Astyanax mexicanus: one gene and its partner. The protein of the gene in region 2 interacts with the protein of the main gene of each other region in a biochemical or structural test. Links are inferred from orthologs where the notes say so. Each region holds a gene or a part of one and is shown on either strand. Other genes may lie near its edges.

Region 1 (7,450 bases), on a different chromosome or scaffold from region 2:
GATTAGGAGACAAGCTAGCTAAAGCTTTTTGTCTTTCAGAAGCAGAAGAAAAATCTGTGTTAAACTACTTAAATGTCTCTAAACGGGTTCTTGTTTGCAGTTTAGAGTTAACAATGCAAAAAAATATGTACACTGCACTTTGGTGGGACTGACATTTAACTAAGAGAACTCAGATTTTGATGACACAAATAATATAAAGTTTTAACTTACAAGTACAGATCTCTGTAATACAGTTTTTACTAGTAGAAAGTATAATTTCTCAGATCAGCTTTTATTTTTTTTCTTACTAGAAATAATATCATATCTTCAGATCTATGAAGCCACTTTGACAAATCACATGAGAAGGACCATATTTCCTTAATGCAATTTTGACTAGTCACAGGATACCACTGCTTTATATGGAATTTTACTCTCTCGTATCTTTACTTACATTTGTACCAATAAAAAAACAGTTACAGATATGTACAATTAGAAGTGTAGCATATTGTTTTGTACGCAATAACATCGCCAACTTTTGTGAATAGTGTTATTGCAACAATACCCTGAAATATCATATTAGTTTAGGGACATTTGGGCCATGCTGTTCGTACAGCATGCTGTTTGTACCAAAAGGAAAATTCACACTGTTCTCATTTGCCATTAAAAAGTGTATTTAATATGTCCATATAATTTATTTTACTTCAATCCTGAACAGAGGAATGCATTATTAGTGACATGACATGTTGGATCATTGACTTCTGTTACAATTAGATAACAGGGATCTTCCATATCACAGCGTATGCAATAATATTTCCAAATATAATTTAACATTTACTTTGTTGCAGTTGTGTATTCTTGACATTTTGTTTTATTTGTCAATGTTTTGTCATAACAGCAAGAATATTGTTACTGCAAAAATACCCTAAAAAAATCATGATATTATTTTAAGGCCATGTCGCCCTAAAATAATAACGCCCTATTACAGATATATGGACCTATACTTGTTACAAGTGAGAATTATTGCAGATGTCTGAAATTACAACTTTTGGACTTTTTTTGAACATTATGGATATGTTATGGATATGTTGTCCTGGTAACATAACTTTTGTGAGAATTGTAAAGATATTAGCTTGCTTATAGACGGTTCCTGAAAGTGTAACTTAACTAATAAATAACTAGTAAAAACAATAGTTAAAGCCTAAAGATTGTAGTTGTAAGAACTGTAACCAAATGTAAGAGATGACTGACTAGTCAAAAGTATATTATGGATATGTTGTCCTGATAACATGACTTTTGTCATAATTGTAAACATTTTAGCTAGGTTATAGAGGATAGCTGAAAGTGTAACTAATAAATTAATTGTAAAAAATAAATAAATATATATATATATATCAAAAGATATCTGTAACTAAAGATTTTAGTAATAAAAACTGGAACTATAGGTAAGAGATGACTCTGACTAGTCAAAAGTATATTATGGATATGTTGTCCTGATAACATGACTTTTGTCAGAATTGTAAAAATGCTAGCTAACTTATAGACGATACCTGAAAGTGTAACTAGTAAATTACTAGTAAAAAAAATAATTATAGATATCTGTAACTGAAGATTTTATTAGTAAAAACTGGAACTATTGGTAAAGTATATTAGTATAATAGTATATAATAAAGTATATTATGGATATGTTGTCCTGGTAACATGAATTGTCAGAATTGTAAAAATGTTATAGATGATACCTGAAATAAGAGTAACGTTAACTAGTTTTAAAATGCTTTACAGAGTGTAAAAACTGAGTTAGGACTAAAAGGGCTTGACATAGCCCATGATGATTCATGATTTAGCTGGCTTGAGTTTGGATTTTATTTACGTAACGTTAGCTTAGTTAGTTAACAAGTAACGTTAAATTAGTTAACCAGTTATGCTGTACTTTGGTGGGCCTGACATTCAACTAGGATAAGCAGCTACCTAACGCTAGCTGGGTTAGCTTGGTCAGGAGGAGAACTATCATACATTTAGCTAAAACAGCTTTATCTAATTTTAGATGCATTAAAATGTTTAAAAATGTTAAATCCTCTGTGCGTGTCTTTGTTTTTTTATCCGGCGGAGTCTGATTTAACTGATAGTGTGCTAACCTAACGCTACCTTGAACAATGCAGTAGGTTAGCTAACCTAGCTTATAAACCTGGACGCTGTTGTTAACAGTCAGCCTAACTGTCAACTTTTCCTTTAGAAGAAACTGTTAAAAAGTTCATCCTTCAGCTCAACAAGGCGTGTGGAGCCATAATCTACAACGGGAGCGAGGAATGTAAACTTTTTCTAACTTTTTAAAGTTTTTATAAGAACTTTTCTTCCTCTCGGCCACATCATTTGCATGGCAACCCATTCCTGCAGAGCCCCCACTCCTCTATCCCTCCCTCCTTCCCTCACTCACCCGAAGTCCTGATCCATAGACTTGAAGAAGAATTTGTAGTTCGGCTTGTTTAGGACCTGTTTAAAATCCAGCAGAGTGATTTTCTCCGCCGGTATGGGAATCTTCACCAAGTACGGCGTCTCCTCTTCATCGATGTGATAAATTATTTTAGTCTCCGCCATTCTTTCTCCTCTACTTTCCCCCTCTGGATCCTCTAAACTATGGAAGAGGCTGGGAGGCTAGCTAGGTTAGCTAGCTAACTGGCTAACGCTAGGGGTAGCCCAGCTAACGAGAAGAAGAGGAGGAGGAGGAGAAGAAGGAGGAGGAGGAGGGAGGAGGGAGGAGGTGGTGGAGGGGGTCGACTGGAGCAGACTGGAGTCTCAGGCTAACTTTACCCAGCGTTTCCAAGCAAGCGAGCATAAACTTTTAACCAACAAAAAAAAGCTCCAACGGCCCCCAGCCCACCTCCACTGCCTCTATATCCCCAACATTTCCCTTTCTCCTCCTAAACTAACTCAAAACAATCAGCTAAACCCTTAAAAAAGCGCCCGGCTGCACAAATCACACCCGCACTCAGCTCAGCTCTGCTCTCTCTGCTCTCCTGCAGCCGCTGCTTTTCCTCCAACAACAACACGGCGGAGTTTCAAACTCCTCTCCAGTGAAGGCCAACGCGGCGCGTGACGTCAGCCCAGCCAGGGAGGGTCCTGCTCACCCGAGGAACAGGCATGGGTTAGGGGTTTGGGACAGAGTTTGGGATCTTGGGTTGGATTTGGAAAAGAGTTAGAAATTTTGAGTTTGGGACAGAGTTTGTGATTTTGGTTTGGGTTTGGGAAAGAGTTAGAAATTTTGGGTTTGGAACAGAGTTTGGGATTTTGGTTTGGGATTGGGACAGAGTTAGGTGTTTGGGATTTTGGTTTGGGTTTGGATTTTGGTTTGGGACAGGGTTAGGGGATTTTGGTTTGGGACAGGGTTAGGGGTTTGGGGATTTTGGTTTGGGACAGGGTTAGGGGTTTGGGGATTTTGGTTTGGGACAGGGTTAGGGGTTTTGGGATTTTGGTTTGGGATTGGGACAGGGTTAGGGGTTTGGGGATTTTGGTTTGGGTTTTGGTTTGGGACAGGGTTAGGGGTTTGGGATTTTGGTTTGGGATTGGGACGGGGTTAAGGGTTTGGGGATTTTGGTTTGGGTTTGGATTTTGTTTTGGGACAGGGTTAGGGGTTTGGGGATTTTGGTTTGGGACAGGGTTAGGGGTTTGGGGATTTTGGTTTGGGATTTTGGTTTGAAACAGAGTTTGGGATTTTGGGTTTGGGACAGAGTTTGCCTGAAGCTGGTGAGTTGGTGAAGCTGGTGTTGCAGATGGTCCCATAAATGCTCTCTGCATTCTGGCTGAGACAGCTTGGCAAAATGTCTTGAAGTGAGTTGTAGAGGCATGTCTAGTAGTCAACATTCTCTCACCAAGAGGTACACTACCTAAACACAGCCTCTGACAGCCTTTTCAGACCAAACCTGTAATTGGTTTATGTCTGTCTGAGAAGTAACTCCATGCTGACTTGTGCAGCAATCTGGGTGCAATAAGGGAGAATTTTTTGTGTGTTTACTCACACAAAAGGTTTTATCATGCACATGGAAATGTTGTGGCTTAATAGCTTTGTTTGATTAATAGTTAATGAACACTATTTGTCAGTTCACTGTCACATTAAACCCTTTTTGTTTGTCATCTTGTTTTTCGTAGTTCAGCTCAGTGAGTCCTGGCAGGTTGTCATGTATCAGACCCTCCTAGTTAGTGTTTTAGGTTAAATCTAATTTAAGCAAAGAGTACCAAAGTGTTTAACACACAAAAATAAGCAGAGAATGAAAGAAAAACATGTAAGTTTAGGTTGACCATGCCTTTTTCTTTAGACTGTACTGTACTCTCTACAGAGCAGTTAGGCTGATTTAGCATTCAGCGAATTTGGCAAATGTCTTTAACATCCACTTCAGTCCTTAAGGCATACAGCCATCAAAAACCATAATGTTTCATGTGAGGGGGGTTGGGGAAGTCAGACCTCCATATGCCCTGAGCTGGAAGATGTTTCTGCATTACAACTCCATAAGAACTTCATATATGTTTTTGCGTTTTACTTTTGATATATCTAAGTGATTACAATATTAGAGAAAAAAGATAAATTTATTAGGGGAAACGTAAATGTAAAGTAGGGTCTAGAAATCTCTTGGGCCGCCTCTAGTCTGGATTAAAAGATGAGATATGTTTGGGCACGGAGGCATACAGGTTCTTTAACCATCCTGCAGCACATTTGCACACAGATATTGCAGCTGAACTTGTAGATTCACTTATAGATAGCTAAAGCTGGTGTCCCTGGTGGTCCTATAATGGCTTAATTGGTGATAAATCTGGAAGCAAGCATTGCAGTCTGGCTGAGGTACACTACCTGAACACAGCCTCTGAGGGCCTTTTCAGACCACACCTATAAACGTTATTATACCACAGTTAGTTCCGACCCTGCAATGTGATTGGTAATGTGCTGTAACCGAAGTTCTCCATGTATTCCTCTGCCACATACAGGTAACCAGTGTTGCCAACTTAGCGACTTTGTCGCTATATTTAGCGACTTTTCAGACCCTCTAGCGACTTTTTTGTAAAAAAGCGACTAGCGACAAATCTAGCGAGTTTTTGTGGTGTTATTGGAGACTTTTGGCGACTCTGAGATGAACACGCGCACTTCAGTTCCTGTCCTCCGCGCTGCAGGGGGCGCTGCCGGGAGCCCCGCCCCACACCACTCACAGTACAGACCCACACTCTCTCACACTCAGAGCACACACACACACCGCTCCACCAACACACTGTTTAAATGAATCGCGCGTGCCCACAGCCGCCGCTGACTGACCCCGCTCTGTATTTACAGAGCAGAAGTATAAATATTAATGTGTCTTCAGTGTGACACGAACAGAAATCCTAAAAAAAAAAAAAGCTAAATATCTATTGAATCATAGACAAATTGTTCAATGGTTCAATAGATATTTAGCTTTTATATAAAGAGGCAGACACTGTGGAGGAGGTGAGTGACAGGCTATGTGGTGAATGAGGTGAGTGAATGACTGAAGGTGCTTACACACTGCACGCGGTAGGTGCGGCGCGGTACGCTGACCCCCATAGGATTCAATAGTGTCTAGAGCGGTAGAGTGGTGCGTCGCTGCCGCGGAGCAGAGCGGAAAGCGGCGCGTTTCCCCGCCCATAACCACGCCTCCACCGCGCTACCGCTTACCGCGGGCAAAGTTCAACATGGTTCAACTTTGACCTCGCGGCAAGCGGTACCTCGGCAGAAAACGCATGACATGAACTCACGCGACTAGAGAGAAACTGTAGTCCAAACAACAATAAACGTGCGCGAGAGACTAATAATAGCGATTAGTGAATCCCCTCAGCTGTACATCACTTCCCTACACTCATATAGAGATAACAGGAGGAAGAGAAGAATCAGAGCTTTGTTCTGAGGCTGAGAAACATATACAGATCCACAGAGGCTGTAGAGACTCAAAACTACAAAACACCGCTCGCAGAGGTGATGGGTTTTAGAAAACTCCGCCTATTATCAGCAGGAGACGCTTGGCGTCAGCAGCAGCGCAACGCACCCGCAACTGACCAGCGTAGAGCAGAGCGGCAGCACAGCGGAATGCCGCGCGGCATACCGCGTTCAGTGTGTAAGCACCTTGAGACTGTGTGAGTTAGATTAAGGGATTTCTGTTCGTGTCACACTGAAGACACATTAATATTTATACTTCTGAAAAAAAATTAAAAAAACAAAAACGTAGAATAACAGTTCCGGCTGCTCTTATAATAACATTTAAGAACATGGCAAAAAACGTAAAAATGAAGTTATTGTAAAAAGTGACGTCCTATTTAAAAAGCAACAGAAGTTGTTCATTTGTAACATTTCTAACACATTTATGGTGTTTTTACTCACTTTTTTCTCTCCCAAAACCCTAATCCTACAGCTTCAAAAACATGTATTATGCAAATTAGGTGATGACGTCATTTAGCGACTTCTAGCGACTTTTAGGACAGCCAATAGCTACTTTCCTTACTGAGGAGTTGGCAACACTGCAGGTAACCCAGCACGGATACAGTGCTTACAAGCCAAACAGCGTAGCTACACACAGAGCAGCATTGGAACTATTTACACTAGCTGAGTTTTTATAACCAAACATATCGTATTTTCTCATCCACTTTAACTCAAAGTCTTGCAATGAACAGAGATAATGGAACTGTGGTAAAATTGCAATAATACTCTCTAGGTTAGTGCTATAACATGTAATATTGGCACTGCAGCACAGCAATGCCAATATTACACATTATAGCACTCCCTCTTGTGTATTATTGCTTAATGATATCTGTCTAAAATGTAACTGCAATTGCATTGTGCATTAAATTAATCCCATGGCACCTTTAAATCGCTTTCATAATAATGTAAAATATACGTACATTCTGTATTTTATTTCCTTTTACAGTTAAAACGGTGGATTGTTATGTTAATAAACCTTTAGTCTCTTGTTTGGGAGTGTGGAGGTAATGATAATGCGAGTTTAGGTATCGCCCAGGGCTAGTGGTATAGTAATATCATTTCAGATGTTGTCAGACAGGTGTGTTGATTGACACTGACAGCAGTGTCTTGGCACTAGTTTCTCAGAAAACCCCGGAACAAACCTGCAGTGAGACAGAGTGTGCAGGTAATTATCCAGAAAGATAATGTAGGGATGTTAATGTGGTTATCAGTCATTTCAATTTTAATTTCAATCAGAAAAGTTACTAAACATAGTGACCAAATACAATTTCATGGATTACAATGACATGCAACTATAGCACTCTGTCCCATGACTTTTGCCATGTCCAATGGAAGCTGAAGGAGTGTTTTACACTGACATGTGGGACATTTCCTTGGAGTATCCTGCATTGAATGTGTATGTGATTCCTGCCACAGACAGTTCTTTCCAGACACCATCAGTCACAATCATTGCCCCCCACTCTGCTGTCCACTGTGGATGGTAATGCCTTCTGTGATGTTATC
Region 2 (7,094 bases):
GGCAGTGGTTTTTGCCTTGACGCAGTCCAGGTGTTGCTTAAAGGACAGTGTTCTGTCTAGCTTCACTCCGAGGTACGTCGGGGAGGGTTCGGATTGTAGCTGCACATTATCAGCTGTGATGTTGATCTTGCGGGTTGCATCCTTGTTGTAGAGGTGGAACATTGTTGTGACAGTCTTATCGACACTGAGCTTGAGGCGCCAGTTCTTCAAGTAGGAGCACAAGATCTCCATGTCCTTGGAGAGGCCCTCCTCTACTGCTTCCCAGGATCGATTGCTGAATAAGATGGCCAGGTCATCTGCATAGCTGTACTTCCGGGATGTTGTTAAGGGGAGGTCATGGATGTAGATGTTAAACAGCATTGGGGCCAGCACTGAACCCTGTGGGACGCCGTTCCTGAGCCTTCTCATCCTACTGCTTTGGTCATTGCTGGTGTGTAGTCGGAAGCTGCGGTTGCTTAGCATCTCCATGATGAAGCTCACCATATGCTTGTCTGGGATGGTATCCAGAAGCTTCATATGTAGCCCACGCAGCCAGACCGTGTCATATGCAGCTGTGAGGTCCAGGAAAACAGCACCAGCTTTCTCACCTGCCTGAAAGCTTTCCTCTATGTCGTGGCACAGGAGGGTCACCTGATCTGTTGTTGATCTGCCACTTCGGAAACCAGCTTGTTCTTTGGGCAACTGGGGGTCAATCACTGGGGTGAGGCGTGCCAGGACGAGACGCTCAAGAAGCTTGTAAGGAACACACAGAAGTGAGATGGGCCGGTATCCCTTTGGGTCATCGCTTGGCTTGTTCGGTTTCGGGAGGGCTATCACCTTTGCACAACGCCAGATCTTGGGCAGCTTTAAGTACCGGAGGCATGCAGAGAGAAAGGAACAGAGCCAGTCAGTTGCTTTCTTGCCTTGGTGTTTTATGTACTCAGAATGGATGCCGTCTATGCCTGGTGCCTTGCCAGTCTTCAGGCATTGGATTACCAGTTCAAGTTCTTGCGTTGTGAAGTTGTTAGATAGGTTGGAATCGCATCCTGGGGCCCTAAGCAGCTCATGGACTCTTACTGATAAGAGGTCTTTATAGGTCTGTAGAGACTGAATGCGCACCATGCACCTCAGTGTTTGCTGCGGCTCTGATTTTTTACATTGCCTTTTACAGTTAGAGTTGCTGTCATTCCTAGTTGCTTCCACTTTGTTATATCACTGACAGTTGACTGTGGAATATTTAGTAATTAGAAAATTAACTGGGCTTGTTGCATAGGGGGCATTTTATCACGATACCATGTTGGCATCCACTGAGCTCCTGAAAGCTGCCCATTCTTTTACTAATGTTAATAGATTCAGTCTTAATGTCTAGGTGCTTGGTTTCATACACTTGTGGACATGGAAGTGATATGAACATTTGCCATTATACCGCATGTCACACACTTAGCAAAACCACATAATGGAGTTTAAAATATGGAAATCACTGCTCCATAAAAGCCTTCAGAAGAAAGTGTCTATCTATAAAAATCTCTTTGCCAGCTTCTATATATAAAAATGTACAATCTCAATTATCCCATTCAATTGCATTAAAACAATAATTTGGTAAATAAAATGTATTCGATTAACCTCTAGTCCTACGCTTCAGTGCTGGCCTAAGCACACACACACACACACACACACACACACACATACAGCAGCAGGATGCACCAGTTGCTGCAAAAGTCAGCTTATTACCCCACATTTTGGCTCCATTTAAGACTAGACATTATATTTAGCTGTATGTTCTGCTTATGATCTGATCTTTAGTTTAAGTGTACATCCAACAGACTCAAAAACAGTCTAAAATTCACATATATAATTAGCTAAGTCCATAAGTCCAAGTCATGTTACTAGCACTGTAAAAAATATAAACTTTGCTAAAATTACCTGTTTAATTAATTCTAAAATTAAGTGTCAAGAAGGTCACCAACCTTTTACTGTCTTGTAAAAAACAGTTAAGTTATACATTTCCTCAGCAGCCAGTGAACTCAAATTTTGTTTATTACCGGTAACTAGCTAAGCAAGCTAAGCTAAGTTAGCGTAGCCCTGTGATATGCTAACGTTGCTAGCTAGATCGTTAGGGGTACTCTAACGTCTTAAAAAAGTCAAACGTTAAATAAACAGCTGTCACTTCACCCACCAACCCAAAGTTAGCTAGTTAACCTTAATGTGGGGAGAATTAGTTTGTCAACTAGGCAATGCTCACAAAACAACCGAGACGATTTAACTTATCTAGCTTAGTTAAGTAGTTAGCTAGCTAGCTATTTCGTAGCTTTTTCATATCAGCTAAGCTAAGCTAAGCTAGGCTAAAGGCAGGCACAGACAGTTGGCTAGCTAGCTATCTATGTTTGTTTATTAGCTAACAGTTAGCTAATCTAATGACCTAACCTAGCTTTATTTTGTCTAATTTTGCTCATGCTTTGTTTAATTATATCCAGATGTTTGTCAAAACCATTTAATATGTTACTGTCACAAGTCACAGCCTTTAAAACTGAACCTAGGTTAGCTTCCTAGCTCATTTGCTCGGATTTAGCGGAATCCGTTCCACCTTAAAACGGTGCATCCGCTCCATTCTGTCAGATCAGCATTTGCAGCATTCAACTGCTACACCATTTAAGGTGGAACGGATAATTCCACTAAAAACCAACATAAACCTCGCACAAATCGGCAGGGCCTTGCACTAGTGACCGCCATTTTTACTCAAACTGCACTGAGAGTGTGTGTGAAGGTGTGTTAGAGTGTGTACTAAAGTGTGTGTGTAAGCCACAACAGCTGACCTTTGTTAGCTTAATAAAATAAACATGAAGAAATACTTGCCGAAGCTGTGAACGCAGCTTATAACAAGCTAGCTAGCTAGCTAACCTAGCTACAATACCATATAACTACCAGGGCAATCCCGGGTTAGCTGTTAAAACCCCTCCAATACAAATAACAACATCAGCAGCAGCTACACAACATCCAAACAAGCAAACAAACAAATCAGAGCTGTGTAATAAATATAAACTCACACAGTCCGTCGCCCTCCTCCTCTCAGCGGAGAGGTCGCAGTCAGTGTGTTTTCCTGCTGAGCTGTTTCTGCTACTGCTTCTGTAGCAGTGTGTGTGTCTGTTCTCCAAAGCTGGACAGGCAGAGCTATACAGTCATTGGTCTGACCATCTCTCTCTCTCTCTCTCTCTCTCTCTCTCTCTCTCTCTCTCTCTCTCTCTCTCTCTCTCTCTCTCTCTCTCTCTCCCTGTGTCTGTCTGTCTCTCTCTCCCTCTCTCTTTCTCTCTCTCTGATATCCAGATTCACACACCGCAGAGAAACCCCTCCACACGTCCAATGACGTAATTTAAAGAACCATGTAACTTAGTATCTCTTATAACTTCAACATTCAACAAAAATATTGAAGTTATTACTTCAACTAAGTCCAAAGGGCAAATCTTGTTCTCCACCTTACTTACCTACTTACAGTACCAGTCAGTGGTTTGGACACACCTCTTCTCATTTCTCATTTAATGGGTCCTATTTTACACCCTGTGCAAGGTGAGTTTTGTGCTATCATACACCACGCCAACAGCCCTGTACTGTTTAAATAGTGACGGAGTTTACAAATATATCACATTTCTGTAAATTTCTGTCATGTTGCTATCTTGGCAGTGAAAAACATAGGTGCGCCACTTACTGATTAAACTCTGACAACAGTCAACATGCTCATTGCTATCTTGGCAATGCAGGTGTGCTGTGCATGCTCAACGGCATGCATTACACACACACGCAAGTCACACAACAGAGCACAGACTCAACTTTTACATCAACAATAAACAAAACACACAATAAAATAACATTGCTGTCCCTGAAAAATGACCTGGTCACACATCTGCAAAGAAGCACAGAAGCGATACGCCATCGGCCAAAGTCAGAGGGAATGGCAAGAGACAGAGTGATTGGTTTATTTTACATTATGCTTAAAACATAACCATAAATAATTAAGAAAATTAGTACATGCCTTTAGCTGCATACAGATAGGTACAATAGAGCCCAATGTGTTTTTTTTTACATTGTAAATTTAATATTGAAGACATTAAAGCTATACAGGATCACATGAGGAATTATTGTGTAAAGAATTAAAAGTGTTAAGGTCTTGTCTCAGTTAAAGGCAGTGTTAATGATCTAATAAAAAGAAAGAGACTGGGTATCCATGGGAGAGTTCCAAGGCAAAAACCTCTGCTGATCAAAAATTCTCAGCCCTACTTGGGTTCTGCAGCAGGACAATGGTCCGAAGCACAAGAGCAAGTCCACTAAATGGCTCAAAATTAAGTTTTTGGAGAGGCCTAGTCAAAGTCTGATTGAGATGCTGTGGCATGATCTTAAACAGGCTGTTCATGCTCAAAAATCCTCCAATGTGATTAAAACAATTTTCCATGTAGAGTAAGCCAAAATTCTTCCACAGAGATGACTCTGAAAGACAATTATCACCAGCGCTTGATTGCAGTTTTTGCCGCCAAGGGTGGCACAACCAAGCTATTAGGTTTAGGGGGCAAATGCTTTTTTTCCTTTAATAAATATAATTATCATTTAAAAAGTGTTTTTTATATTTACTCATGTATATTAAAATATGTTTGTTCATCTGAAAAAAATATGTATAATATTCAATATAAATCAGTAGGGGGCAGATACTTTTTCACAGCACTGTATGTAAACACAACTACATATTACATAACTGAACATAACTGTATATTATCAAGGCATGTCACAGAAAACGGAAAACAAAAGTAAAAGGAAAGGAAACGCAGAAGAATGAATACATCAATAAACAACTAAGTCAGAGAGAATTCCTTTCCATTACACTTTTTTTTCAAAATTTAAACTGACCAGAGTAAATCCACCATTCAGCCCTGTGTTTACTCTGCTTCAGTCTCACTCTCATTTTATTACATTCCTTTTAAAAATGACATGAAATGAGTAAACTTTTTTTTTTTAGCTGGAGTAATTATGACTAATTCCTGCATAATGCTGCTGTAGAGAGCAGGCTAAATACTGACCTGTAGCTCATTGCCTCAAAAAAAAAATCACTAGATTATAGGTTCATGTGGCTAATATATATGGCTCCGATACATCTGCTAACCGACACCATGCCACCCAGTGCTCTCTCTGGACTCTGATAGCTGATGGCGAGATGCATGACCGGGATTCAAACCAGCAATTTTCTGATCATAGTGGCAGCACCTTCGTCCGCTGGAGCATCCGAAGCCTCATACTAACATTTTAACATAGTTCATCAGTCAGTCAGTAAGTCAAAATGCCTCTTCTAGACAACATTGATGAAGCACAAAACTGATGAAAACATCAATAATTCAATTTGAGTCCAAACCTTTTCTGAGCAACAGGGGCAAGGAAAAACTCCCTCAGATTAAGAGGAAGAAACCTTGAGAGGAAACACGGCTCAGAAGAGGATCCCATCCTTCTCTGGTGGACACCAGACAGACAGAAGCTGACAGATAGCTCTTCCAGGGTCAATCTGCTTTTAGGTTAAATTCACCTCTGGGTTCAATCCTTGGTGCTCTCGCAAATGTCACCTACTAACAGGGCTTAATGTGCACAGTCTAAACAGAACGCTGAAGAACTATAATTGTATAATTAAACTGTAATTGACCATCATATATAGGGTATAGAGATTTCTCAATGGTCATCAATTGTGAATGAAAGGAAAAACATACCTTACAAATAAATACATTAAATACCTTATCTAACATACCTTTAAGCTGAACTACTCAGTGTACTCAGTCAGAAGCCTCAGTCTCATTCTGGATTCCTGCATTACTGTGGGCTGTGGGAGCACAGTTTCTGCTTCCACCACTCGCCCATGGAGCAGAACTGTGGTATTTAATTACTTTTTTAGCTGTGGAGGATGTCTACATGGGATGGACCCTTGTAGACTTCTTAATAACAAAGATTTAACAAATGAGAATTTCAAAGTGATTTGAAGAGTATAAAATATGGATAACTTAATATTCACATACCTTAAATTTTAGGAGTCTCAGCCCCCTGAGTGTCTGCTTCAGTGTGAGCTGTGGCTTCACAGATTCAGATTCCACCACCTGATCAGAATGTGAGCATGCAGGAGCTTCTGTGTATGAAGCAGACCAATCAGCAGAAGAAGAGATGCACCACAATGTTTCTCCTGAGGAGCTTCTTCATTCTTCTTCTAACTGACTGGCAGGCTATGTGTATTGGTGTTACTTCTGAAATCAGACCACAAATCAGACTGCAGCTGATTAACTACCTACAAACAACCCAATGTCTTCCTCTCTCTTAAAGAGTCGTTCTGCTCTCCAAACTCTTCATCGATTGAAGAGGAAGAGGAAGAGGAGTCAGGCGGAGACTTCCTCTAGACCTTTGTGGATTACAGACGATGATCTGCTCCCCCCCTTTTTATCGGTGGAAGAAGAAGACAAGTGAGACTCTTCCTCCATCCAACTGAGTGAGATGTTGAATGGGTTTCGTAGAATGGGTCTTTCATTTCCATTTCCAGCATTCCTGTAGATGACAATGAAGCAATGTATAAAAGAAATCATCTTTAATTATTAGCTTGTTGATCCTGAACTTATACCAGATGTTACCTAATATTTAAAAAAGCTCTTCCTTTTAAAGCAGCATTATAGAGAATTTGGCATTTCTTGCTCCTTGGCTTCCCCTAAAGTCAGAAAGTGTAACTCTCAATTCAACCACACTGCAAAAAACTCTTAGCAAGTAAATTTAAGGCAATAAATCTTATTATCTTCTCTGATAAGACTTTTTGTCTTACTAAGCATTGTAAGTGTTAGATTATTTTGCTTATTTTAGAGATAATTATCTTAATTATTGTTACTTAGAATTTGTACCATATTTTAAGTAATTTGAACTAACAATAAGCACAATCAAGCAGCAATCAAGTTATTCTGATTCTTGTTTCCAAAAACAGTGACTTTTTTGCTTGATTTAGGTGTTACTTCACTCATTTTAAGACACTTTTTTTGTCACTCATGTTCCTTCTGTACTGGCATGGATAGGGGCCCACTGATATTGAGAGTGTACAGGGCCCAGAATTTGCTGCTATG

Evidence for each region. The genes of interacting proteins can lie anywhere in the genome.
Region 1: the proteins of NEDD4-like E3 ubiquitin-protein ligase WWP1 (region 2) and dvl2 form a complex in vitro, tested with the Homo sapiens proteins (2 studies listed by BioGRID, with this or other methods). The link is inferred for Astyanax mexicanus from reciprocal best matches to the Homo sapiens genes WWP1 and DVL2.

The regions. Positions count from the first base shown.
Region 1 is NC_064415.1:18,700,815-18,708,264, reverse strand, and holds the start of dvl2 (segment polarity protein dishevelled homolog DVL-2), read right to left. Parts: upstream 3,069-7,450; 5' UTR 2,572-3,068; coding exon 2,411-2,571; intron 1-2,410.
Region 2 is NC_064413.1:45,897,960-45,905,053, forward strand, and holds the start of NEDD4-like E3 ubiquitin-protein ligase WWP1, read right to left. Parts: upstream 3,072-7,094; 5' UTR 3,024-3,071; intron 1-3,023. UniProt on the Homo sapiens protein: E3 ubiquitin-protein ligase which accepts ubiquitin from an E2 ubiquitin-conjugating enzyme in the form of a thioester and then directly transfers the ubiquitin to targeted substrates.